Astyanax mexicanus: one gene and its partners. The main gene of each other region encodes a partner of the protein of the gene in region 4 in a complex. Links are inferred from orthologs where the notes say so. Each region holds a gene or a part of one and is shown on either strand. Other genes may lie near its edges. The genes, in order: washc5, washc3, wash1 and washc4.

Evidence for each region.
Region 1: washc4 (region 4) and washc5 share a complex: the UniProt entries of both Homo sapiens proteins name them as parts of the WASH core complex. The link is inferred for Astyanax mexicanus from reciprocal best matches to the Homo sapiens genes WASHC4 and WASHC5.
Region 2: washc4 (region 4) and washc3 share a complex: the UniProt entries of both Homo sapiens proteins name them as parts of the WASH core complex. The link is inferred for Astyanax mexicanus from reciprocal best matches to the Homo sapiens genes WASHC4 and WASHC3.
Region 3: washc4 (region 4) and wash1 share a complex: the UniProt entries of both Homo sapiens proteins name them as parts of the WASH core complex. The link is inferred for Astyanax mexicanus from reciprocal best matches to the Homo sapiens genes WASHC4 and WASHC1.

What each region holds. Positions count from the first base shown.
Region 1 is NC_064408.1:112,355,475-112,362,524, forward strand, and holds the start of washc5 (WASH complex subunit 5), read right to left. Parts: upstream 3,007-7,050; 5' UTR 2,928-3,006; intron 1,273-2,927; 5' UTR 1,213-1,272; coding exon 1,027-1,212; intron 1-1,026. Other genes in the region: zinc fingers and homeoboxes protein 1, read right to left, coding at 6,512-7,050. UniProt on the Homo sapiens protein: Acts as a component of the WASH core complex that functions as a nucleation-promoting factor (NPF) at the surface of endosomes, where it recruits and activates the Arp2/3 complex to induce actin polymerization, playing a key role in the fission of tubules that serve as transport intermediates during endosome sorting.
Region 2 is NC_064409.1:37,361,029-37,368,483, forward strand, and holds the start of washc3 (WASH complex subunit 3), read right to left. Parts: upstream 3,021-7,455; 5' UTR 2,883-3,020; coding exon 2,832-2,882; intron 2,693-2,831; coding exon 2,594-2,692; intron 1,046-2,593; coding exon 980-1,045; intron 1-979. Other genes in the region: cwf19l1 (CWF19-like protein 1), read right to left, coding at 5,379-5,523, 5,624-5,721, 6,757-6,876. UniProt on the Homo sapiens protein: Acts as a component of the WASH core complex that functions as a nucleation-promoting factor (NPF) at the surface of endosomes, where it recruits and activates the Arp2/3 complex to induce actin polymerization, playing a key role in the fission of tubules that serve as transport intermediates during endosome sorting.
Region 3 is NC_064416.1:14,044,513-14,051,342, reverse strand, and holds the start of wash1 (WASH complex subunit 1), read right to left. Parts: upstream 3,016-6,830; 5' UTR 2,899-3,015; coding exon 2,891-2,898; intron 2,334-2,890; coding exon 2,193-2,333; intron 138-2,192; coding exon 26-137; intron 1-25. UniProt on the Homo sapiens protein: Acts as a component of the WASH core complex that functions as a nucleation-promoting factor (NPF) at the surface of endosomes, where it recruits and activates the Arp2/3 complex to induce actin polymerization, playing a key role in the fission of tubules that serve as transport intermediates during endosome sorting.
Region 4 is NC_064409.1:54,355,181-54,362,078, reverse strand, and holds the start of washc4 (WASH complex subunit 4), read right to left. Parts: upstream 3,018-6,898; 5' UTR 2,844-3,017; coding exon 2,783-2,843; intron 1,809-2,782; coding exon 1,669-1,808; intron 1,562-1,668; coding exon 1,508-1,561; intron 532-1,507; coding exon 466-531; intron 321-465; coding exon 275-320; intron 87-274; coding exon 19-86; intron 1-18. UniProt on the Homo sapiens protein: Acts as a component of the WASH core complex that functions as a nucleation-promoting factor (NPF) at the surface of endosomes, where it recruits and activates the Arp2/3 complex to induce actin polymerization, playing a key role in the fission of tubules that serve as transport intermediates during endosome sorting.

The DNA of each region.
Region 1 (7,050 bases), on a different chromosome or scaffold from region 4:
AGAGAAAATATAATAAATTTAACAATGGTATGGGGTAGATATAATACATGTAAAAAATATATAAACAAAAGCTATATAAAATAAACACGTTTTTGTCATATTTATCATATTTTGCCAGTTTTAGTCTTATACTTAATGTTAATCTAATTACATTTTAGAAATGTAAACATTTAAAAATTATCTTCAGCTGTCTAGTAATTTTATATATTAATGTGCATAAAGATACTTTATATATACAGCTCTGGAAAAAAATAAGAGACCACTTAAAAATGATGAGTTTCTTCGATTTTACCAAATTGAAATCCTCTGGAATATAATCAAGAGGAAGCTGGATGATCACAAGCCATCAAGGCAAGCTGAACTGCTTGAAGTTTTGCACCAGGAGTGGCATAAAGTTATCCAAAAGCAGTGTGTAAGACTGGTGGAGGAGAACATGCCAAGATGCATGAAAACTGTGATTAAAAACCAAACTGTGATTATTCCACCAAATACTGATTTTTGAACTCTTAAAACTTTATGAATATGAACTTGTTTCTTTGATCTGAATCTTTTTTGTTATGTTAGACATTTCTCATTTTCTGCAAATAAATGCCCTAAATTACAATATTCTTATTTACAATTTGGGAGAAATGTTGTCTGTAGCTAATAGAATAAAACAACAATGTTTATTTTACTCAAACATATACCTATAAATAGTAAAAACTCTTATTTTTTTCCAGAGCTGAATATATTCAATGTATACAAGTAATAACCCAGTTATATTATAAATAATATTTTAGTAATCACTTCATTAAAAAGGTATTTTTCAATACAAACCAATGCAACTTATATTTTAAATGCATTTGTCATTAAAACAACATTATTACATTCCTATTACACCTTAAGAATCATGTGCTGGAGTAATTCACCAAAACTGCATTGGACTCTGCAATGGGGGTTAAAACCACACTGACTTATCATCCAGCTCCTGTAAGCTGTGGTACAGAAGCCCACCCATAAGATTCAAAACCAAATCAAAGATACTACCTTGAAATAGCTGAAGTCACAGATGATGTCTCCATACTTCTGTTGGTCAGTCTTGTCTTTGAGCCGAAAGACTGCGGGGATGAACTCAGAGAGGCGCAGCAGTTCTGCGATGATGGCGTGTCCCCGAGACACAATCCTCAGGATGGCCTGTCCACAGAGGTTATTCTCCGCAAGAAAGTCCACCATGGTGGCAGCCTTCACTCACAGCGAGCAGTCAGAGTAGGTCCTCAGAGATCCATTCCTCTCCTAAATGTAAAAATACATCCACATGCAAATGCAACTCAATCAATTTAGTTGCATCTTTCAATAGCTGGAGTTAGAATCACTGCAGCGCTGAGAATAATGACCCAACACCCAAATAACGGCTGCTCTGCGGTGGTTCTCTCCTGTGGGGTCCTGACCATTGAAGATCAGGGTGAAAGCAAAATAATAATATATGCAATGAATTGACACAATGGTTAAAAACTCCAGCAGCACTGCTGTGTCTGATACACTTTTATCAGCACAACACACACTAACACTTCAAACAGCATCACCAAATGTCCAATGCAACTTTCAATTAGTTGAAGTCAGAATCACTGCAGTGCTGAGAATAAAGACCCACCACCCAAATAATAGATGCTCTGTGGCGGTCCTTTCAGGTCCTGACCATTGAAGAACAGGGTAAAAGAAGAAAAAACTAGTCTTTCTGTGTTTCTATATGCTTAAATGCTACTAATCAGATTATAAATGGTAGGAGTAGGATCTTGCCAATATTGTTTAGTTCGGGGTTTAGTTAGTTTCAGTATTGTTCTCTTTCAGTGACCAGACCACAGGAAACCATACCAAATTACATGAAGTTTAAACTGTGATGATTTTCTTCTCTATGGGACTTTATGCTCGGTGCAGCATACAACTCTTTACAGCTCCACAGCTACAATTAAGCTCCCGTACACTTCTTCTCTAATCAGCTCCCCTCTCTCTGCTCTTGATTACTAAGCCTGAATGTGAAACTCATTATTATCATACAGAGGAAGAAATACGGCTACCCCGTGTGTATATGTTGTGGTGAGCAATGTGAGCAGTGATATTGCACATAGGTTGACAGTAAGTAACGTTACAGTGCCAGTCAAAAGTTTGGACACACCTCTTCTCATTCAATGTGTTTCTTTATTTTTAGGCCTTTTTTCTTACATTGTAAATTGTAAACTAAAAACGACATTAAAGCTATACAGGAACACATGCTGAAATTTCTTGTAAACGTTTAATCCACAATGTAGGAAACAAATTAAATAAAGTAAAAAAAAATAATAATAATAATAATAATAATAATAATAATACATTGAATGAGAAGGCGTATCCAAACTTTTGAATGGTACTGTAAATAACAAAAAGTAGCTAAATAAGTGGTAATATTGCACGTAGTGATGGGAAACAGATTATGATGTACACATATTATTATATAACTGCGTACTTGCACTGTCTATATGGCTGACATCAGTTATCTTCACAACAACTGGTGCATATTCATTAAAAAACTAGTGTAAGTAACGTTTCCTTAACTGCAGTATAAAATCTCTCATTGTGTTTAAACAGAGTATTACATAGCTTTATTCAGTACCTCATATAATAATGTGCAAATTATAGTTATAGGTAATATAATAGTAATGGTAGTCAGTAATAAATTGTCAGTGATAAATTACAGATCAAGCCCCATAGCTTAGCCTAGCCTAGTTTACATTAATTGACACTGATTCAGCTGCTACTTCATTTCTAAAAGGCTAAATCCGGTATTAAGCTGGTTAAACAGGGAGTCTCGCTGTGTCTGTGTGCTGTAGAGTATCTGTAGGTTTAATCCGCTGCGCTCCTGCGCTCTGTAACAGAGTAAAATACTAAATTTATCTCTAATTAACTCCACTCACCTCCTCTCAGATCAGATCAGCTCCTCATCTGTATCCTACTGTTTACACATCACATGAGTGTCACATGATCAAATCGGCGCCTGCCATTGGTTACCTACGCCGCGCGGATGCTGCTGCTAAATGGCGGTTATTTAGCCAATCTAAAATAAAAGTCCCTAAAATTCCACAGCTTTTTAATGGAAAGAAAATATTTTTATTAAAAATAATTAATAAACATTAAAATATGTGGGCACTGTATACTAATATACATACACAGTACAAGCCACGTATGTTAAACATCAATTTTTCTTTATTTCTGTAGTTTTCTGTACTTCATTTTTCACACTGTAGTAGTGTGAAAGTGTTTGGCATCCACAATCCCCTTACCTTACTAAGTCTTTCCACTACTTTATTTTCTTGTTCCCGCACCTTAATAGTCTTGTTCCCACAATTTAATAATCTAGTTCCTATAGTTTAATAAGCTAATTTTCACGCCTTAATAATTTCATGGCCTCACCTTTATAACCTTGTTTCCACGCTTTAATTATCTTGTGGCCATGCCTTAATAAGTTGTCACCACAACTTAATTATCTAATTCCCACAACTTAATTATCCTTTTCCAATGTCTTTATTATCATTTTTTTAATGATTTTTTTTACATTGTGGGGAAGACTTATTAATAGGAATTAGTGAGCATTAAATTGATAGTTTAAAGTTTTATTGACAGTTTATTTAGGTGTTGGCACAAGATAATTACGTCATGGGAACAGGATAATTCTGTTTTGGAAACTAGATCATTAAGTTGTCATGACGACTTATTAAGGTGTGGGGACAAGATAATAAAGTCACAAACAGTTAAGTTGTGGGGACGACTTATAAAGGTGTGGCCACAAGATAATTAAGACAAGAAAACAAGATTATTAAATTGTTGGGACGACTTATTTGGGCATGGCCACAAGATAATTAAAGAGATAATTAAGTCGTGGGAACAAGATTATTAAGTGAATATAGTGTGTACTAGGAAATACACTTCACTGTATAATATATACTATATATTATACACTACATATATATATAACTATAAACCCTGTCCCAGAATCTGACAACCCAAAATAACCTGTTTTTACTGTCAACTTTTTTTTCTTAATTAATGCCCCATGAAAATTTGACTAATCAAAAAGCTCAAAACTTACTTACAAACAGGAGATACAAGTTGTTTTACCTCGCAGCAACAGTAAGATTGTTAAAGAGAAAGAAGACCACATCCACTAGTTTTCATCTAAATTTATTGTTGTCTTCAAACAAGTACAAAATATAATTTCTGTCTAAATCAATCAAGCCACAGCCTATTAAAACAGTTTTTTTCTCCTTTTTTTAAATTAAAAAGCATTGCACAAGGCCTATGGCTCTGGGGAGTAAAGCTTTAGCCACCACAGCGGTGTGAACAAATTCAAATTTAAGGCTCAGTAGGATTCGCAAAGTCACCTCCATGATGGTCCCCTGGTCGTATTCCCATTATCTGAAAAAGAGTGTTACTGAGCCTTACAGTGATTCTACGCAAGATTTAATAAGTGCACTGCAGTTAACAATACTAGTGAAAGGTGGAAGAAACAGGAGACATACAGTTGCACTTGGTAAAACACATTCATAGGAAAAAGCAAACTTAGCATATGAATCACTTTCAAACCCAGAAGAAATCTTGATCTTCAACTTTGCCTAAACTGATTTTTTGCTATGGTAGGTTAGCTACTGAAAGGACAGATGATTCGGATGTGTTATTTTAAGACAATACTTATGATCATGTACTTTTTATCTGTTGTTTACAGTCACAATAAAAGGTGAAGAATCACAGGGACAACTCCAGAGGATCGCAAGCTAAGCAAAAAATGCTCAACAAGAGTTTAGAACAAAACTTCTTTAAAATCTGACTAGTATAATCAGCTCAGATCACACAAAAAAATAGTCACTGTATGAGCAATCCACTTGGGTCAAGGTGAGATTTGTCATCATAAATACAAACTTATAAAAACGCATAAAACTACTTATAAAATACAACAGCAAAATGTATGTACAAAATGAGCGCTCTTTTTGCCATCGTCTCAACAGCTCAAACATGCACTACGACTTTGTGACCCAAAGGGGGCGGTTTAAAAAATATTAAGGAATAGTGCTGCGTGTTTGTGGGGGAGGGAAATAATTATAATAGTTAAAATTTCAATAAAAAACACAATCAAATACCATATATACCATGCTACATGGTAAATAAATTATCCACCAATGTCAATCTCTTCTCACAGAAAAGCAAATTCGCACAATTTTTAGCTACCGTATTTAAAAAAAAACTGAAACTTGTGTGTGTTAGTAATAAGAAAACCCCAATTTTAATAAACTGATAAATAATTTGAGAAGTTGGTCTTTTTGGGTAGCCTAAAAAATAGGTTAGAATGATTATTTATGGTGTGAAGCACTGCTAAGCTGATGAAAATGTGGGTTAAGCCTCTGGGACATTTGATCAACATGAATTACAAACACATTACCGTTTTGTAAAAATCGGCAAACAGGGAAAAACCCAACCAATGCCTTTTCACAAATTGAAGAAAAACAGGTTTTTAAAACAGTCCAGCTGAAACAGTGAGAGCTGAAACACACAGTCCATCCCTCTCTTTTTGTCCAGGCTCTGGTAACAGTGTGCTAACTGGTAACAGTCTTGTGCTGTCATATGCAGTCATCTCGTACGACCAAAAAAAAAATTCCTGGCAAATTTGACCCATGCTGTGCCAGTCATAATGCCAGAGCAGCAGCTGGTGCTTCAAGTCACAGCTCCTTATTAATTGTGCTGATTTAATAGACGGGTATGTCAGTCAACAGTTGATGGTGGTGGATATCGTTGTCTATCAAGAATAAAAGACAGTGAACTTTTGATGTTCATCATTTTTATCACTAGATGCCATTAAATGGCTCAAAAGGCAATTTGTTCTTCTACAAAAGTCTATTCAATACAAAGTGCCCAATCGTATGTGTGTATATATATGTCTCTTTTGGTGAGAATACATACACTATGTATTTGCTTACTCCTTTCATAAGCAGGGAACTGTTAACATTCAGGAACAGTACAACTTTGGCACCATGATTCCTCCTTGGGGCAGTGGGAGGAGCTGGGAAATACAAAACCAAAATCAACTCAGCCCGCCTCCTCTAAAACCACTTGGCATGATTACAATCTCTTCTTCCACCACAAAATTTAATTCAAATTGCACTCAAAGATAAAAAACAATCCAGGCCACTGTTTCTGATCCAGGATTCTTCATGTTGGGTGTAACTCTGTTCACATTTGAACAGAGCACACAGATTTTTTTTGTCTGTGAAAGTTTGTGATGAAACCTCAAAGCTCCGTTTAAGCTCAGAAAACATAGACTAAGCTCAGGAAAGTTGAATGAGAAGATGAGGGGAAAATGCAAAAGTGATGCAAGCAGGATTAATCAGCAAATTGTACATGGATCTTCATAGTCAATGTTCTCCTTCTTCTTTACTAACCTTTCTAAGTGCCGTTTTCACACACAAAAATTAGCTGTCGACTAAAGAAAGAAAAAAAAGAAAGAAAAAAATTACTGATCCTCAGACCCAGACAAAGTCTTTCTAACACTTTGGGGGGGCTCCCAAGATTCACTGTCATCGGTCTCATCATCCTCCTCCTCCTCATCTTCCTCACCCTCTTCCTCACCTGGAGCTGAAGGTCCTTGCTCCTCACCCACTATTTCATTCTCCCCCTGCGACTCCTCCTCTTCCTGCTCGTTGTTTACGTTGTCATCAAACGGGTCAGCGCCCATGTCCACCTTCCGGCAAACCTCTGCAAACCACTCCCGGACCTGCTCGTAGCTCATGTTAGACTTGGCTACCAGCTCATCCAGATCCTGCTCATTCAAGAATTTGTGCTTCAAGTAATATTCCTTTAAAATATCTTTTCCTGTCTTGAACTTTATTGGCGGGGGCTTCTCCAAGTTTGTGGACTTCTTGGCTTTTCTGCTGCGAGACCGTCCCCAACCACGGTTCCGGATCCTCCGTTTTCTGCCTTTGTTTCCGTTCATGCCTTCCACATTTCCACTCTGATAATAGAAGTACCATTTAAGGTTCCCATTCTTCCAGG
Region 2 (7,455 bases), about 17 Mb from region 4:
TACTACAGACTTCCACTAGAGGGCAGACCAGAGAACAAAGCCTAAAAAGGCAGAGACATAACAGTCTGTTGCAGTTTTTTTTTTTTTAAATAATCCTGATCTCTCAGCACCTGTTTAGATGAGTATTATTTTTCCTTTGTGCAGTCGCAAAACAACAAATAGATTAGGAGTCAGACAAAATATCAATATAGCAATATACTGTATTGTTTTCGTTTGTGAGACAGTATCTGTATTTGGGATCAAATATCAATATATTTACTAAAACATAGGCACTCTGAACTCCCTGGACTCAGCCCCCAATTTGACTTACTTATTAAATTTACTGCTTCATTAATCCACATGATGGTTCTAATAAAATAAATAAGGTAAACTTGCAATGATGAATACTGGTTGTTAAAGTCTGTGAAACTGACATCTATATATAATTTATTTCTGCTATTGCTTATCGTCTACAGTAGCACAGGTGCTGAGAAGTATCGTAGAGATTTGTCTTGGTATATATTGAGTATCTCAGAATCACAGTATCATAATATTATCATCATATTATCATTAAAGGTATCGTGCTAATATTGTGAGATGCCCTGTGGTTACCACCTCTAATACAGATATAAGTTATTGCAGACACTGTATTATAATATCTGTATTATATCTGTATCCCCTACATGCAGTTCACACACAAATGCGTAGTTAACAGCAAGTCTATCTCTAGCTCAAGGTGAACAAGGTGAAGTTTAAAATTCTAAAAATGTGTAGATGTTGTAGACAAGAGTAATGAAAAGGCATCAACAGTTTTTCATTTACATTAAAAGGAACAAGCACTTAAACTTTCTCAACAGACTGTTTAGACATAATGAGAAGAGTGATGTTAGTGCTAAGAGAACTGAGTTAACTTGTAAAAAAGTGCGAAATGTCACATATAATCGCCTGCAGAATCTGTATGCAATTGTCTGAGTTACAAAATATTTTAGAAATGTTTTACCTTTGCTTCCAAAATGCTGAGTGTTGTTTCAATCTGCTGAATCCGTAATGATATTGTTGAGAGTTTCTACAATAAAAAATACACACTAGTTAGTAAGATGATCTGACAAATTCACTTCTCATCTCATTTGCCACAATATTAGACAAATTAGAAGCTTATTTTGGAAGTTTACCTCTGTGGGAAATCTTACGAAGAAACCCTGTTTTACCTTGAATGTATTGACAAACATCTCACAATCATGATTACTTATCTTGGTATCTAAAATTACATAATCATCGTGTGAAACCTTGTATTTTATATGCATTAACCAATACTTACACCATATTTGATCATTTTATCACTCACAGTATATTTTACACGCATTTATATAAAAGATTAATCAATAATCACAATATATCCTTTACACATATAGTAAAACATTGTTTGATCAGGCATGTGACTAACACAGACCTTATTATGACAAATTAACCAACATGATATATAAGGCGTATATTAACACATAGGATCTATTATATGGCGGACTAACCACACGCTGCTAACACAGTAACAAATAACATATAGAACCAATTGTTGGGCACATACAGCTTATGCCTGAAGCATTTAGTTTACTGCATGTTTCTGACTGACAATCAATCATCAGCCAAGTGCACTTTGTACGAACTGAATTGATACAAAAGAGACTCGGGTACGAACAGTGCAGCCTTACACTCTGTGTGTGCGTTGTTTTTCATCTCCCAAAGCGGGATGGGAGCACGCACATGGGGAGGACGACACTTTGTAATTATTAAAACAATACCACACTGTTTTTACCGGACTCGGTCCAGTCATGAAGACAATGCCACACTGTCCGATTGGAGACAGTCAAGGTCAAACACTGGTGGTGTGATCAAACCTGGGAAACTTCAGTGCTAACACGTGCATGCTAACATGAGATGATTTTAACAACGCCTCATCAACAGGCTTTACGTCATTTTGGGGTATAAACGTGGAGTCAGATCAGAAGGGGGGTCAGAACTTATGCTGGGACGGCTGTTAGACGGTCTTTCATGTGTGGGTTCTCCTGGATATTCAGTACTTTGTAATAAATACCTGGTTTGCTTTCAACTTCACTCCATCTGTCTGACTCTCTCTATCAAACGAACACGCAGGGGAGTTGTACCCCGGACGAGAGGTGGGAGTAGCCCACCTTTCATTTTCTTTTCTACAACACCTCTTACCAAGACATGAACAGCCTATATCTTCCCAAAATTATCAAGAAAATGTTATACTTATGTGGGAGTGTTCCACAAACCTCTACCCTGCACCTTTTTCTTAACATACCTGATTTAGCTAAGCTTATTTACCGCCCTTTCAGCATTGTAGGGGTGAATTAAAGAAGTAAACACACTAAAATGTGCAGGGCAGGGAGCCTCCAAGACCAGGGCACTGAGAGAGACAGGTCTAGATTAACGTTTTTAGGAGATCATTACTGTAAACGGTCTGGGTCTGGGTCCTTTTCTTTTGGGGGATTTTGCTAAATTATCAACACATCGTAAAGCAATTGAATAAAAAAAAAGTAAATGCAAAATATGGAAATAGGGTAACGTAACCAGCTATTTCAGAATGTTAACCCACCTCTTCACAGACAGATGAGAACCGGTTGAGGAACCGAACCGTGTGAACAATAAACTGATTGAGGAAAGCGACGATTCTTCTTTGCTGAATTGCAGGAACCTGAACACACACACAAACACATAGACACACACAGGTTTCAGCAGAGAGACTGAAATGACAGCTCTCTGATCTGCTACTCAGAGAGTAAACAAGCCCGCAGCTCCAGCTGTAACAGCGCAGACACACAGACCCTCCTCACCTTGGTCAGATCCACTCCCGAGCCCACTATAGGTAACCCGTCCTCGTCCATATTAATCTGATCTTGTACTGTTTTATAAAGCTAATATAAATGATCTTAAGCCGGTATAAATTCCGCTCTGCAGTTCAGTATTCTGAAACCATCGTTCCTCAAGTCTCTCATGTGACTTTAGTATGACCCGCGACACTTCCGCCTGCAGAGAGCTCCACTCCAAATTAAGAGTCCTGGTTTACAGGCCTGTTGGAAGCGTTTTCTCAAACCAAATCTAGGATTTTCCTGAGCAAGGGGGTCACAATATTCACGGAGGGGACAAGTACTATTTCACCAGTCACGCCATGTTCAAACACTTGAACGCACTTTATGTAAGTTTAAACAGTAAAATGTTCAGTGTTCATTTTGCGCAATAAAATAAGATAAAATAAATATCAAAATCTGCCATCAAAATGCCTTCTAAAAATACTAACCATCCAGTGATAAAATATTCTAAGATGGGAAGTTAGCTTGTTATTCTATTAACCAGCATAAGGTATGTTTTTTTCTGGATAGCCAGCTGCTTTTGAGACGGATTTTCATCATCAAAAGGAATTTAAGAATTAACAGGAAAATGTTTATGTTGCTCATTCAAAACAGAAAAATATATACCAAATATATATTTTTATATATACGTGGTTGCTTTATCTTCTTTGCAGTTATTGTTTCTTGCTTCTAAATGCATATATTTTGCAAATTTGATCGCAAATTTTATATTTTTGGGTGAAACTTCTGGCACAAAATGAGCTGCATTTTTTAATATTTTACATGCATTTTTTTGTATATAGAGAAAATATTCTCATACACAAAGCATATGATCAAACCCATTTTATTCTTTTTTTAATTCTTTTTACTTTTGAACAAATACTGTCAGGTCCAAACATTAAAACGTCTCTTCTATATAAGCTTGTATTACACTGGACATTCTTATTAGACTAATTGGCGCCTCTAGTGTTTGGACATTGAAATGCATCCACTAATATTTGATTGGCCCTCTTGATCAATGGACAGATGAGTGACAGGACAGGGGCCCTTCTGGGGGCCAATCAGTTTTTTTTTTACCTGGGGCCAATGCCCCTAGAACCGACAGTGTCACAAACATTTCGCTCAAGTTCTCTTGAGCCGCTGCCAGAGATCCTCTTCATATTAGGCTACATACGTCTGTTATGTTCTTGCTGGAGTGTGACGTGTGCAGTGGTGATGGATCACATATAATCCGATAGGGTGTCGGAAGGTTATATGTTTATACTTCTCATCCAACCATAATCAAATTCACTCTGTATGGATGGAGAGATTTATCTGGACAGAGTTTTTTTTAAACAAGGAGAAGCCAGAATGAAAACAAGCTAAAAGAAAATAGGAGTAATGAGGCTTTTTTTAAATATAAGGAGTAGAAGTAAATAGTTGTCTGAAAAAAAAAAAACAAATTACTCCAGTAAAGTATAGATAACCAATATTTCTACTTAAGTAAGGTAACAAAGTATTTGTATTTCATTACTTGGCACTTCTAATGCCGATAGCTGTAGACATGTAGGTTTATCATGATGGAGCCAGTGAGTAAACAGCGAAAGCTCATGTTGGAGCAGCAAGGAACAGGTAAAGAGAGAGATATTGCACATAGGTGAGTCTCGGCCAAGCCTTTTTAAAACTGCGAAAGCTAAATGGCTGATTGTAAGTAACATTGGGAGGATTTCCCTCTGTTTCTCTCTTTCTATCTTTCCATCGCTTAATATTTGGCTATAAGTTGCTTCATAAGTGAAGTTCATTCCAGGTATGTGTATGTACTTTAATAAACAGTCCGTTATTTGGCACAGATTTGGTTTGAATTATGTTTTACAATGAGATGCATAAATCAGAAACCGGTTTAAGTCGCATTTGCTAGCCATAAAAGTCACAAATCTAGTGGTTGTCTAGACTAGTGTTTACTGATGACTATAGAATGGCAATTTTTTCCAGATTGTGTTTCACCTTTAATCATGCGATGCTCTTTAGCATGTCTAAGGTGTGCCTGAGACAGAATACTATGATCACCTGGGACATCTTGCCTTTTTATATTTGTTTTGTTCTAAATGTCATTTGCTGATGTTGAGCGTGTTGTACAAAACATTCACAACATCCTGATGACTCAATTCTTTAAGAAGTATTTCTAAAAACACAGATTCCAAGCAAACATCAAACTCAGTGTCCACTGTTCAAAAAGTATTTTAATAAACAAACACTTGGTAAAAAGAGGATATTCTTGACTATACAATGACTATGAACAGGTTCTTCCACAAATTCCTTTAAAAACAATAGTCAAGAAAAACTTCTTTCTGTAATATTTTCAACAGAATCCATCTCTGGTCAGTTCAAATATTAAGAGCAAAATGCTGGGATGACATCAGTTTAAAAACATAAAAAAATGAAAATATGTACTGAAATTCTGCATCTGTGTTTGGAAAAAAAAATCAGACCAAATGGGTCATTTTCAAGTGTGTTTGTGTGCATTGAGAAATGTGTTGGTTACTGGCAAGATTCTCAGTCATCCATGGTGAAGTCAAAAGCCTCAAAACCAGAGCGGACCTTTTTTGCCAGAGCCTCTTCCTCTTCCTTGCTGCTTTTACAATCTCTCCAGTCTGACCGCGTCGGAATGTTCATCACTGCCTCGCTTGCCAACACTTCCCTGGTGTAAATATAGCACATATTCATAAACTCGCTTTGCTCAAAAATTAATGTGCGAGGTTTATTTGTGTACAAAGACTCTTTCAAATTGGATTGTTTACCTGCCAAACTGCAATGGAAAGTTCTTCTTGATTCGGTAAAACAGTTTCTCTCCTGTGTCCAGTTCCACATAGAAGTAAGGAGTTCCTGGTGGAGCAATCTTTAAAACAGAGCAAGGAAAAAAGCCAGATTTAAACTTTTTACTTCCAAAAATTAATAAAAACAAATGTAACACTTTTACTCATTATTCAAAATTTCTTTTGATCATTATTTTAGCCTGACTTAATACTAACAACCAAGACCAATACAAAACAGGATACAGCATGTTTATACTTGCCCTTCTCAAATGCTGAAATTCTGCATTGATACTAATGAAATGTGGCTTGTTTGTTAATAAATTTCTTTTTTTATTACTTTTCCAAGAGCTAATGAGCAGAGAATGTTTTAATTAAAGTGAGAGGACTGGAAGGGTTTGGGTTTCACAAATGCTTTGCCCTATACATAAAAAAGCATTAAAACTATCATTCAAGCTACAGTATGTATACATTTAAAGGGCTATAGTTACTGCTCTTGAGTTTTTTTTACACCTCGTATCCAGGGTTTTAGAGAGTTTTGTCACTTGTACTAAACGAATGACTCTGTACCCAGGACCGATTCTGGGCTCATCTGGGGGACAAGAGGAACTTTTCGCCAAGCTGTGGATCGATTGAGTTATTCCAATTGTCTTTTTTCTGAATTAATAATTGCTATTGGTTTTGTATTTTACTCAAATAAAAACACTCATACATTACGAAACAGCATCAGTAACTCCTCTGATAAAGTGCTGTTTGCATTTTTCTCCAGGCAGGACGTAGCGTTTGGCTCCACATTACTCCAGTGTATAAGCTTGTTATGCTAACTGGCTAACGTTAGTTAGCGAGCTGTGCCAGTGTGCTTTTTTGGCTGTACTGTTTTACACAGCACTCCACAGCGCCTCTTGTGGTATGGCGGTATATTAAAAATGCATACCGGTTTTAATTTCCCCTCTGGTATAACAGATGAACCAGTATACCACCCAGCACTAGTGTGAACCCTGATTCAACTTAAGTTTCAGAAAACCTTGGAATACATGTTAGGAAATTATGGAAAAGGCAATAAAATTATTCTTAAATGACCTTTACTCCTCACTTTTCTGTAAGTAAGTGGCTAAATGTACCTGTTTGAGGTCTGTGTGCTCTGGAATTTCCATCAGTTCCATCTGCTGCTCCTGAGCCTGCACCACGAAGGCTTCCTTAATGTCCTCCGTACTGCACTTCTCCATCGGCACAGGCACCACCTACCATCCAGAGGGTGACATGGGTGGGAATTACAGTTGGTACACTTGGTAAACTTTCAGACTATAGTCGACTATTGTGTTTCTAAAGTAAACACATGCTAAGATTAAAAGACAGGCACTTTGGAAAACATGGGGCTTAGCTACAGAATAATAGGCTTTGTAAATCCTGTTCAGGCTAATCATTATTTCTACTCATAATACTATGTTAAATCTGATGATGATGATGATGATGGTCATCATTGGGAGCTTGGAGTCCCTCAGACTGGATTGCTCATCAGGACAGACTGCTTGTCTGCTCAGACTTAAACTGATGATTGAATGTATGTGAGCCTTCACATGGGGAAGAATAGAGCCTTTTAAAATCTCCCTCATACTGCAGATAAGTTCTGCCAGGCCCAAAATCATAATTTATGTGGTGCTGCTGGACTGACCCTGGGTCTCAAGAGGCCGCCCGTTTGGGCAGCAACCACAAATGCAGGCTACTCCTAGGGTTGCAACGGTATGAGATGTGATTTTCACTGTATGATTACTGTCTCAGAAAACATCACAATATCACAATCCGCAAGCATTTCATTGTTA
Region 3 (6,830 bases), on a different chromosome or scaffold from region 4:
GACACGTGTGAGGTGTGTAGATCACCTTGGTGGCTTTTTTGCTTCCTTTGATCTTGTGGACTCGTGCTTGAGCCAGTTTGATACGGTCTGTGACGGCCTGGAGGTAAGTGCGATTCTTTTCCACACTCTGCGACACCCTGCAAAATCAAAGACTTCACTGTGACTCTCTGTTTCTACAGAATGTAAACACGGGGTGCTCCTAATTCTCCCTACAACATGATATGGCCAAAAGTGTGCGGAGTGCAGTCATGCTTGCAGTGCTCATTCAGTGTGTGTCAGCTGTACTCAACACACACTCTGTAGCCTCGGGTTCTCCCTGTTGTCTAGAAAAGGAAAAAAAATTACTGAAATGAGGGAAAAAGGAAAAAAGACAAGAATGAGAGTACATCCTAATGGAGCTGACCCAGAAAACCAGCGGTTACCCCCCACCACCCTACCCCCTACACACACACACACCAAACGAACATGTTCCCTCATCTCTCTCTTCCACTATGTTGTCATGGTAACGCTATGGATGGTTTTTCGGTCCCTGCTACTGGAGCTGATATTAGCATATCTGAGCACTCTCTCACACTCACTCACACGCACACACACTCAGAGAACAAACAACATCCTCTCAACACACACAGCTGCACACACATGAATAATATGCATAAAATGCATAGGTCATTCCCCTGTTTATCCACACTTGCCCTCTATCTCCACCTCCTTTATCTCCATCTTTCTCCATCTGTCCCTCAGGCCTGCGCAAAGAGTAGCTGCATCTGAGAGTAAAACTTTAACGATGAGTTGCTTACTCACATTTAAAGTATAATCTTTAAAAAATATTTCGTACCAACCACAAGTCACAAAATCACTATTTAGACATGTGCACAAACATGTAACTTTTATTATGCTTATTTGCTGTTAAAGTCTATTTTTTTCAAAATAAATCAAACCTTGTAGATAACAGGGTGGTAAACAGGTTAATGGCTTGTTCAATCACATCTCAGCATTTTCACCCCATCAAAGTCACATGCATTATTAGTGGCCTTCAACACCAATATCATTACAATAATTGTGTGTAATTGTGAGTAAAAACAAACAGATGTCCGGGATAAAAAATCTGCCCGGCCATCAATGTGAGGTGTAGGCCTGTTTTATAGCTTTTGTTTAGTTTCTTCAAATCTCATTTGAAGCTTTACTCCTTACACAAGATTGTAAATATATATATATGCCTGTACAACTTAATCAAACTCAAAAATAGCATGCTGTTTATTTTTGTACAATAACAGCCTTTACAATATCTGCATTTGTATATTTTCTATTACCAGAATTTAGCATAAATTAAAAGGCCACATTAAATGGGTTGCCTCATTTACATTTTGATTTTGACCTTTGCATTCTGAATGGAAGTTAATGGGATTTGGGATTTAAAAGCCATTATCACTCTGCCCTCTCTAAATATATTCTAAACATTGAAGAGAATTCAATTTGACTGGCCTTACTAAAACAAATGTGTTTTTATGAATTACATGAATACACTACAATTGCTGAATTCAGCTAAAGATATTTAGATATAAAATATTCAGTAACAGGCCTGTGTACATATCCTTAATAAATCATGATATATGACTTACGTTTTACAATAAATACATCATTCCTATCTTTCAGTGGTATAACATGTTTACATCATAGGAATATAAAATTTTATGTAACTTCTATTTAAAACTACTGTATCATTTACAGTCGTATTATAATACCCAGACAGTTTTTAACATCCAACAGCCAAAGTTAGACTGCAAATTTAAATGTAGTCTGTAACAGTCTGTAACCCACTTGCAGAACTTGCATGCACCCATTTCAATACATACCTGAGGGTATTTTAAATAGAATACAGTTACTAAAGCAGACAAAGAAAGGAATGAGACATAAACTCACAATCTAATTATGTAAGCACACTCCTTCAAGCTTACATGCAACTTTTATATTAAACACAATGCAAACAAAACCTTGTTGTATCTCACACTAGGAAAAGTGTAAAATATTAAAATCACTGCAACATAAAAGAGTTCTTTACAGGTTTCTGACAGAAGCACAATTCTTTCTACTGAGATTCTCTCTGGAGAATGTACAATCTCCATTATCCCATTTTGCAATCACAATAAAATGTAATTAATCAAATTAATTACATGAATCTCCTAGCCCTATACCTGGTGAAGATGTCTGTTGAAATATTTTCCAGGTATTGCAGAGCATCAGTGATCTGGTGCACAGCCTCTTCCCTCCTCAAGTCCTGCTGGATCACTGGGACAGAATACACCTGTCCCTCCAAGTGGTACTTCTGAGTCATCCTACACACACACACACACACACACACACACACACAAACACACACAGAAGAAAACAAAAAAGCATTACACACTGAATCATCCCATGTGTGAACATGAATATCTCTATTGCTATATTCTCTTGCAATTCACTGCCTAGGGGTAAACACTGTTTACACTGTCAGGGCAAAACAATTTATTAGAAAATTTAATAAACAAATATTAGCCATATAAAACTCAACACTGCGCACATTAATAGGCGTATTTCCTGTGTGGAGAAAGTGTCAGATGATTTCGTTTATTCTTAAATCATATCCAATAAGCTACACGGCTAAACTTGGCTTCATTATCAATTGCTCCGTTCCACCTTAAAAAGTGCAACAGATGCATATCAGCGTCTATTCAGATTCTACAATGCTTTAACCGAAGCTCTCCTGTTATTTAAGGTGGAACGGAAAATTCGAACCGCTGCTTCGTAAACAGGCCAGAAACGGCGCTCTTTTACCTCACTAAGGCACCATACGTTATAATACTTAGTTAAGCAACCCAAAACAGTAAAAAATAAAGAAGGACATCCTTACCTGACCATTTATAACGCAGTTAAAGCAGCTAAAGCGACAAAATCCTCGCATCGCCTATAAACACAGCACTGAAATGAGCTCTGTTATCAAAACTTCCGCACCGACTAGTCACATGAGCAGCGGCGGAAGGATACTGCTGTAGGTTATCTGGCCAAAAGTTTGTAGACACAAGCTAGTACCGCGTTCATCTAATAGATGGAATTGTTAATATGTGTAATTTAGGTTACTTTAATACCAAATACAGTTTGAATTGCTCTATTAAAATCTATAACAAGGTGGCAAAATATTCCTACGGTTCTTATTAAACTAATCAAACATAATTTAGATAATACCTTAGTGCCCAAAATTACAAAATCTATACATAAACAGTCTTCACTTTTCAGTCCTAAGATGCAATAAAACATTTCTAAGAAAATATTTAAGAAAATATACATTAGTTTACTTTGAATATTCTAGTTTATTATAGATTATCTTAATGAAGAAATGTATAAACAACATACATTTTAAATAAATGTAATACAAATACATATGAATTATATGAATAAATATAATCTATACTAACCCCTTTGTTTTTATTTTTTTATTTATATATTATTTGTTGGAATTTTATTTATTTTAGACTTATTTATTTTATGTCTCCCAACTATTTCATTGTTCACTGTTATATTATAGCTTTATAGGTTTTACAGTTAATATGATGTAGCTAGCATTGCTATGAGGATTTTACTACAGTCAATCACAGAATTCTGACGAGATATTTTTTTTAAATAAATTTGCAGGTTAGGAACTACTTTTCCTTCCACCCTGCACTTATAGGAGCACTCTGGCTATTTTACTTAACAATCTGTGACAGCTATTTAACTTTAAGTTCTAAAATATAATTTTTAATTTAGTGTCCACATTAATATATAATATAATTTTCCATTTTAAAAATCATAAAGAATTACCATGCTTTGTGTGCAAGAAAATCTTACTAGTTTTATTATTCATAGAGAAATATGTGGATTTTCTATATATATATATATATATATATATATATATATATATATATATATATATATATATATATATATATATATATATATATATATATGAAATACATTTCATATATATTTTTTATTACCAAGCAATTGCAGTGCATTAAGAAAAAAAATATTTATGTATATTTTTCCTACATTTTAAATGTGTTTATGTATAAATGTATAAAAAACGTATACATAGTTTGCATTTCTAAATTTATTTTCCAAAAGGATGAACAGAAAATGACCAGTATCATCTATCCCTAATTAGCTGTGAAGCTTGTTCCAGATGTTTCTGATGGATTTATAGCACCCTAGAGAATGGTCAGCATTGATCATGGTGACCTTGAAGGGTCATGATGCGACTGCTCTAGAGCACCACATTCAATTCAGTGCATTTCTATGGAGATTGTACTGTCTATTCTCTTTACTGTTTTCATCCAGCCAATTTTAAACTGATGTTCACTGTGAAAACCTTAAGGAATTCCTTTTTTATGTGTGCAAGAATTCTAAAGGTAAAGGTTTTCCACCACTTAAGAGAACCTGGGGTCTATAGTCTTCTACCCGATACTTGGCATAGGGCATGGTGACCTTATAGGCCAATCTAAATCATTGAAAAAAGAAACAGTTTAATAATTCTTCATTGTCATGGAATATACCATACATAGTATTTAGTATATATGGAATATACATTCACGTACTGAATACCCACTTAAGAGAAGCTGTCCATATAGCTGAAACGGTGAAGTGTGTCAGTGTTAGCCTAATTCTGGCGCCCTCTTTTATCTATAGTTGATGTGAACTAATATAACTCAGCTTGGATGAGCAACACAGATGGTGTTTTGAAAGTCCTGAGAGAGAAAGCAGAAGAGAAATATTGCTGTGGTTCTGAGACTTTTTTTTTTCACAGTTTCAAATGAACTAAACTACTGTAAAAAAAAAAAAAAACTCAAGAGCTGTGTTTGGAATGGGTCACTCATTGACTTCTTCACTATTCACTATATAGAATTTTCTATATAGTCAACTGTCTGTAAAAGGGAACAAATCCAACCAAAGCTAAGGTTTATAGTGATACTATACAAAAAGGTAAATATTAATAAAAATTACAGGTTACTTTAGTGCACTTCCCATTACCAGCTAATTATATTGCCAGGGCTTTTGGCAGATAAATACTTAGTAACTAATGAAAATAAAATAACAGATTAAAAACAATAAAAACAATAAAAAACAGAAACATAAACATGTTAATCCAATGGTAGTACTAAATAACTTTTTTGAAGATGATCAGCACAATATGAGTTTTCTCACCTGTCAAAAGTTTTGTATACCTTGCTTTAAAATTCAGTGTTTTTGCTAAGGAGCTAGGCCTGAGGATAGCTGAAAGACAGCTGTAGGGTAAATGTTAGGAGAATGTCTAACAAATATCACTGAATAAAGAAGCTGATTTGAGCTATGACTGCACTAATGCCTTGGGCACATTCAGCTGGGCTTTACAAAATTTAGGCAGAGAAATAAATGTTTAATAAAGCACAGTTTCTGAAAGAGAACAAACTTGCATTCACTATAAGGGCAGTTTCCCAAACAGGGATTAAGTCTAGCCTTGGACTACATAGCAGTTTAAATAGAGATTTTCCAAAATATAGTTTACGACTAGGTTTAATGCCTGTCTGGGAACTTTGTTTAATGTTTAAATGTTTGTGGACACATAGCCTGTAAGAATGCATTTAGCTACTTTACATTTCTTACACAGATGTACAAATACACACACACCTCCCTGTAGAGCATTATTAATAAAAGAATAAGACTCCCTAGGGTAGAGAAACATATAAACCTACTGGCACATTGTGTAGGTTTGTACTCAGATCAGGGTGTTACTTAAGTTCTAATTTTTTGAGTTCGCTTAACGTACTTTGCTTTTTTTAAGGAAATCAGTTTATATGTTTTAAATAATTAATCAGATTCATAACTGAGTTTTAGAGACAAAACAATAAGTATGTTTTCTGTGACACGCTCTCATTAACTGTGTCAGTCACTCACTTTGTCAGTCCCAAAAAAACATGTGAGCAAGCCTCAGTCCTGAGTGTTGGAGTATTGTATATGATTTGACTGTGTCATTGAACCAATATCAATCAGATGGTAAGTGAGTGGTAAAATAACATTCTAACATAAAATAAAATAAAATCTAATTTCACCTCCCCATCACAATGGACAATAATAAATAATTGCTCCACAACTTGCCCCCAGGAACAGAGGGAGGGGATGAAATCCCCTGCGAATGCTCTGCGAACCGATATTTATGAAAAAAAAGTGCTCCGGTGCTCCTGTTTTAGACTGATTTAGTTCAGTAGAGGAGTGGGTGGGAATGAATATTCATGACACACAAATGTCTTGTTTCTGATTGATCAACAACACTGTGACGCTCCCTCCACAATTCTGCAGTGGCGGTTGCAAGTCAGAGTGGGTGAGTCCATGAATCCTAATGCATGAGTATGGAACATTATTTATTTGATAATATTGATGGATTGCTGTTGAGTCAAACTTTTAACACTAGCCTGACTCGTGGGGGGGGGGGGGGGGGGGGGGGGGGTAGGTGTTCCTGTGGGAACATGATACCAAAACATACCCTTTGTATGAATGAAATTCCTTTGAGTAACTTGTGAAGTGGGATGTTTGCAGCTTCAGTACCTATTCCACATATAGTTTTTTTTTAAGTATGGTCTAATCATCTTATCATTATTAATAATTAATTTGATTCTATGATATTTTCATTTATTATCTCTAATATGTTCAAAGGTTTGTTTGTTCTGCTGCTTGTTTATGTTTCAAAACTGAAGTTTAAATCTTTTTTTGCGTGCCATGCTGTGCGTCCTGACGTCACTTCAGACAGGGCTCCTCCTCTTTTATTCCACTGTTTTGACATC
Region 4 (6,898 bases):
CACAAACATAAAAACAACCTGCAGAAAGGAGATGAAGCGTCCCATTTGAACTTGGCATTCGCCCTCCACCACACTGGTGTCTGACACTGTCAATAAAAAACATCATTCATAAAGTTTCAAACAAGACAGGATTCACAAATGAGCAAGAACTTGGACCATAGGACGTAATGCATTATGTGCTGCTAAATTACAGATCTCTTGGTCAAAACAGAAATTAGTAGTTACTAAATCCTATAAGAGATGTTTTAAAGGATAAAATGGAATCAACAACTACCTCCTTCACCGTAGTACAGCAAACCATTATAGAACTTTGTTTCAGCCTAAAAGGTAATGAACATTACAATTTTAAATGCAAAGACATTTACATTTCCTTCATCCTAATTTTTTTTCAGTACATTATTGTTTATCATATAATGAGCAATTTTTATATAGTACATCTCTTTACAATGTAAAACTGTCACATACCTCATATTTCAATTTCTTGACTTCACTGCAGAGAGCTGCATAAACTGTAATGACTTTATTAAGGACCTGCAAAAAAGAACAGTAACAAACAAAAGACAACATCATTCATACTGAAAAAGTATTACATGACATGATATCTGCTACAGCCAACAAGTCATCTTCTTTGTTAGACTATGTGTGTTTTAAGTGTTTCTGATCTGTGGAAATCTTACAGAAACATCACCAGTTCAATACTGCCTCCCAGCTGTGACTATGTTAGGTACATTAATGATCACTGCTGAATAGATTTCAGTTCAGAAAACGCCCTTTGGAATTAATTCTCTCACGCAATGGTATAAGCACTACAAGCGCAAGTATGCAGAACCTCAGGTGTTTTTGCACCTGTACTTGGTTTCTCTTGTCCAAATCAGTTGATGAGTTTGTTAACCTGAGTGTTTTCACACAGGCCTAAACCTAAATGCACCAAAATGTGCACCAACCATTGGTCAGAGCTGTCTGGTGCAGGAGCAAGAAACTACATACAGGAAGAAAGTTCTGTGTTCCAGACCAGCATGAATATATCTGTGCAGCGTGAAGCTGTTAAATCTTTGAATGCAGAAAATATTGCTGTTACAAATTCAAACGCAGTATTTTCAATGAGATGCCCCATAGTAAACAGTGCTGCGTGGACGTGATCAGTAAACGCTGCACTTTCAGTGTTTAGGGTGTAAACAATGTAGCATGAAGCAGCAGCAAAGACAGCATTTGTTCACAGCTATGGTAATTATTTGGCTAATATATCAGGTTATTGCTGCACCTGAACAGTTGTTTAGCTCAAATAAAAGGAGTATTTTGACAGTTGGGTGGGATCGAGACCGGATAAGGTTCTCACTACAAACAAATATTTTTAAACTGTTTGGAACAGGACCGAGACCACCTCCTCTAGTAAGTCTTAGTCCGGTTGTTTTGGTTGACTAGTCTCTCCAATCCTACAGAATAAAGTACAGAAAAGAAAAAAATACACATTTCTATATAATTAGATGTCCCATAATTAGAGACTCACCTTGTTTTCTGTCTTAATCAACTCCAAAAGTGAGGACTGTTCATAGGGAATGAGCTGTAATCAGACAAAATATAAAGAGATGCATTTAGTGTCTAGGAAGGTAAAAAGAAACAAAAGAGTATCAACTTAAACATCACCAGTTTAAACAAACCATACAGCACCTGCAAAGCTATTGGATCCAGAGTGAAATCCCAGACATCACCAATGGAGTCATCCAGGGCTTCTTCAATAGCTTTGAGTTGAGATGAATACTCTTCCAAGAACTTTGTGTAGTTTTTTAGCTGCACTTCAGTATGAATTTCTAGAATGTAATCAAAAGGCAAAATTGCATTTTTACTGCAATACAACAATCATTAGACATTTTCGCATTAACCCCTCAACCCTCCCCCTCTTTTCACTGCACTACACTTTTTAAATATTTGTCTTAATATTTACAGTCAGGCAGTACAGACACCCTGTGGCCGTTTAATTCGTTTACCTAGCTAGTCTCAGAAAACTGGCACTGACAGTTCAAGTCAGTGACACTGACAGTTAGTAGCTCGATACCCAGCAGCACTGTTTACAATGCTAAAAATAATGCTTAACATGCTGACTTCAGCAAGTGGTATACTGACAATTTCAAATGTAAGTTAGTTAGCTACACATATATCATCGTGCAGGGGCGTTTTCATTCCAACACTTCCTTAAAACAGCACTTTTTCTTAAAACCACAGTAACGTAGTTACGTCTCTAATAGAGGAGTCAATGGACTCTTGCTCCTTGTCGTTTTGGTCATATGACTGAATGGGTGAACATGGGGTTAGCTAGCTTACGTTATGCAGTCAACAGGCTAGTCATCTAACTACATATGTGATTGAAAGATGACTAAAAAAGGAGACAATTTACAGAACTTGGCGACGAATCGCTGAATTGATAGGCTCGTTAGTTCAGCAGATCACGAGACGTTAGCTCAGTGCTTATGTGAACCACACTGAATATCTATTGCATTAATTAGCTAGTTAGCATATCTGTCCTAGTCTTACAGTTGATAGTAATACAGGGATGTTTAAAATGTGCTGATCCCCGGGTCACACACCCAGGCAGTGTTCAGAGAGACTGATCACTAAAGCTACAGCTTGGCAGGAGCTCCTGATCATCTGACCAAAACACAGCTAGCCACCTAGCTTAGCTAACCTAGCTACGTTAGATATGCTGCTAGCCTGGTGGCTAACCCCACTAACAGCTAATCGAGCTAACGTCTGACCGATGTTTCAGCTAAACAGAGGCGACACTTACTCTGAGAGCCATCGTCAAAGCGATCAAACTCCCAGTCTGCTGAGATCGACTCCACCGCCATCCTGTGAAGAGAGAGCTAGCACAGAGACGTTCTCCAGCAGACAGCTGCCCTCCCTCCGCAGAGTGATAGTAGAGAAAGTAGCAGGGCAGCAGGGTTGCCAGGTCCACCAAAAAAATATCCAGTCCAAAGTTAGTCTAAAACCTGCCCTTCAGAATCTTAAACTAGCCAAAAATATATTACTCTCACACATTTGAAGCAAAACAAGTATAAGTGTACAACTTCGTATTTTATCAGTTATTATCAGTATTGGTATCTTAAAATCATTAATAGTATGTTAACATTTCATTAGCAGACATCCCAATTTGCAAAAAAATATTTCAGGGCCAGGTTTCATGGGAGCCATGCTCCTGAATGTATTCCATCCAGGAGGACAAAAACACTGCCCACCCACACTAAAAAACTGGGAGCCAGGGAGCCGTTGCGGAACTTCCGGGAGACTTCCCAACTGGCACTTTCAAGTTGAAATGACTGAAGTAATGTATGTTGATGTTGTTTCAACGTTGAATCAACATTTAATGTTCAATGGTTGTGCTAACGGTGACATTTTAACGTTGAATCAACATGTCCTCAACCTTCTGCCTTTTGAATCAGCATTTTACATTTCATCACCATACAATTTCTAAAAACGATTGGATGGAGGAATGAAAAGTGTTTTGCAATCCTATGTTCATGTTCTATTAGTTTTACTGTTTTAGTGTTTTTGAGATCAGATGTTGAATCAGATTGGTTGGTCACATCAGCTTTACTGCAGTGATGTGAGTTTATTGTTAACACTTTGTTAACCATAGGATTTTCTTATCTTTGTGAGCTATGGTTTATATGGTTTAAGGTTGAATGTATGACGCTGACACAATGTTGCTATATCAACGTTGATTCACTTTTCAAAAACAACGTTGATTCAACCCTAACATATACGTTGATCAACATTGATTCAACATTTATTCAACGTTAAAATGCCAGCTGGGTTGGCAAGTCTGAATAAGTTAATTTAAAACAATTTTATATCCCAATCAAGAACATTTAATAGTAACATAATTAGCAATATATATTTTTTCGTTTTTGTTTTTTTATTTTTTGGTAATTTTAAAAGTAGCCCAAAAAAACGCACCCGTCTCCCCTGAATTTTACCAGAGACTGGATTTCCCAACAAACCAAAGTGAGCGGTAAAACCGCAAACCTGGCAACTCTGGTGGACAGCGGCGTAAATACAGCACTCTGCTCTCCGGTCCCATGATTTGCTCAAGTATTCTTGAATTTCCGGGCTAAAGCTCGCAGTGTTTTTTAAAGTAAAAGTTCAACATCCACTAGATTTGTTTAAACACCATCTGATAAAGCTGAATAGTTACATTTACTTGTCATTTTTACTTTCATTCCTAACACTGTTGCTGATTAACCCTTAAAATGTTTGTGATCCCTAAGGAACTTTGAGTAAATGTTATTTTTGGTTACATTACGATTATGATGATGAAAAAAACAACCTTAAAACGGTAGTACAGGCTTAAGGGATAGAATAAAACAATATATACATATTTTAAAAATTCTAATTTTAATATAAATCATACAAAACCATACCTTTAAATAAATGTTCAATCAACACAATAAAAAAAAAACCAATGTGCACAAATAAATTAGTTATGACGCTGGAGTCTAATATTGTTTCAAAGCGTTAGCGATGGAAAATAAAGATTCAAACAGAAACAGAATGTTTGCAAAAACCTACAACCATGAACAGAGAAAGAAGTAATGTTAGGCCGTTGTCAGGTAGCTAAGTTGTATTTTTTTTGGTGTCCACACTTAGTGCTCTCTTCCTTAAAAAGTAATCCCTGCTGAACATTCCCATAAACTGGTAAGCTTGCTGACCAACAGGCATGTTGCATTTGATTTAAAAACGTGCCCAGCTAGGAAACCACTAAACTTAAACAAAAGAATATACTACCCAGCCGGCATGCTCATGTAGGATTCACATGGATGGAATAAGGGCTAGATGGATTCTGGTTGGCCAGGGCCTTGTACACGCCTTGTACTGGGACTAAGTTGTACTTCCGAAATGGGCCTTAATCTTACATCTAGGCCCCATAGATGCTGCCTATCCCAGCAGGCATCGGGCGGAAGGCAGGATACACCCTGGACAGGCCGCCAATCCATCGCAGGGCAGACAGACAGAGACAGACACACAGACACATTCACTCACACACTCACACCTAAGGGGCAATTTCAATCAAGTTCCAATTAGCCTGAACGTGCCGTCTTTGGACTGTGGGAGGAAACCGGAGAACCCGGAGGAAACCCACGCAGACACGGGGAGAACGTGCAAACTCCACACAGAAAGACCAGGGTCCCCCCGCCCGGGAATCGAACCCAGGCCGTCTTGCTGGGAGGCGGAAGTGCTACCCACTGCGCCACCGTGCCGCCCGCCAAGGAAGTCTCAAAGTAGCAAAAGTAGACAATGTCTTGACAATGTTGTATACTTTTTAGCTAAAATATGCTTTAAGCTAAGCTAACAAATAATTGTCCTTAGTAGCAAAGACAACAAAAAGCTTTGATACTTCGCAGACTGTGGAAGATACAATGACCACCTTCTGATCCTGGAGTAATCCAAAGGCAGACACATGTAGGATAGGTTAATGGCCTTTTGATGACTGGTTCTGGTTTTTGCCTGTGCTTGTATTTATTTTTTTTGACCTGGCAACCCTGTGGAGGACGTCCACACTGAGTTCTCTGTGTCCGCCAAGTGGTGAATTTAGGCACTTACACTTAATCTATACCATAATTACCACTCACCCTCTCGTGTCTGTCTGAGGCATTCAACATATTCAGCATTTCTGCCAGTCCGCTCAGCTGCGGGTCGTGGAGGGACGGCTGTCACGTAGGTAGGACTTTCTATGGAATATTTTTGTCATTCTAATTTGTTAATTTGCTCTCTGTTGTTAGAGTGTTTGTATGAATAAGTTTAGTTCTTTTATAAAGTGTGTTAAATTCTTATTTGCCATAACAAACCCCTACAGCAGATGTTTAAAACACGCTGACCTGTTGTTGTCAGGAGAAGGAGCAGGCTGGTGGAGTAGCATGAGGAAAGGAAGGAGTTATCTTTTTATTCTTGTCTCGTTTTGCTGGTCTTTTTTCTTTAGGTAAGTGGTCATGTCAATTTGATATGAAGTTGTTATATACAATTATGTACATGATTTACACAGCCTAACTTTTTATTTAGATTTATATTATATGGATTTATATATTTTTACTTGTATATTACTTGACTTTAATTGACTTCAGATTATTTACTTTGTTTTTGATATTTGTATGTCAACATGAAGAATATATAACCAAATTAATTTGTCGGACATCAACAAAAATGAACTTTGTGTTTGGCTGAATAAATGAAAAACCCAAATAAGCACAATCTAATTATATATTAAAAATTACTCATGCTCATTCCATATTTGTGATTGTAGGTTTGCAATTGCTGTTTCTTTGAACAACAAACCAACAAACAAGACAATATATATTAAGGCTATTTCATTTAGGCAATTGTTAAAATAATAGACAAACCAATGAAAACCTATGAAGAAACATGTTTCGGACAAAACTGTTCTTTTGGTGCATCTCTAATATACACTCTATAGTGTATATACAGCTCTGGAAAAAAATGAAGAGAACACTTCATTTTCTAAATCAGTTTCTCTGATTTTGCTATTCATAGATTGTTTATTGTTGTCTTGCTATAAACGACAGGCAGCATTTATCCCAAATTTCAAATAAAAATATTGTCATTTAGAGCATTTATTTGCAGGAAATGAAAAAAAGATGCATAGCTTCAATTATTGCTCATATGAAGTTCATATTCAGTAAGTTTTAGAAGTTCTAAAATCAGTATGTGGTGGAGTAACCCTGTTTTTTTTAATCACAGTTTTCATGCATTTCTCCACCGGTCTTACACACTGTTTTGGATAACTTTATGCCACTTCTGGTGCCAAAACTTTAAGCAGTTCTGCTTGGTTTGATAGTATGTCATCATCAATCTTCCTCCTGATTATATTCCAGAGGTTTCAATTTGGTAA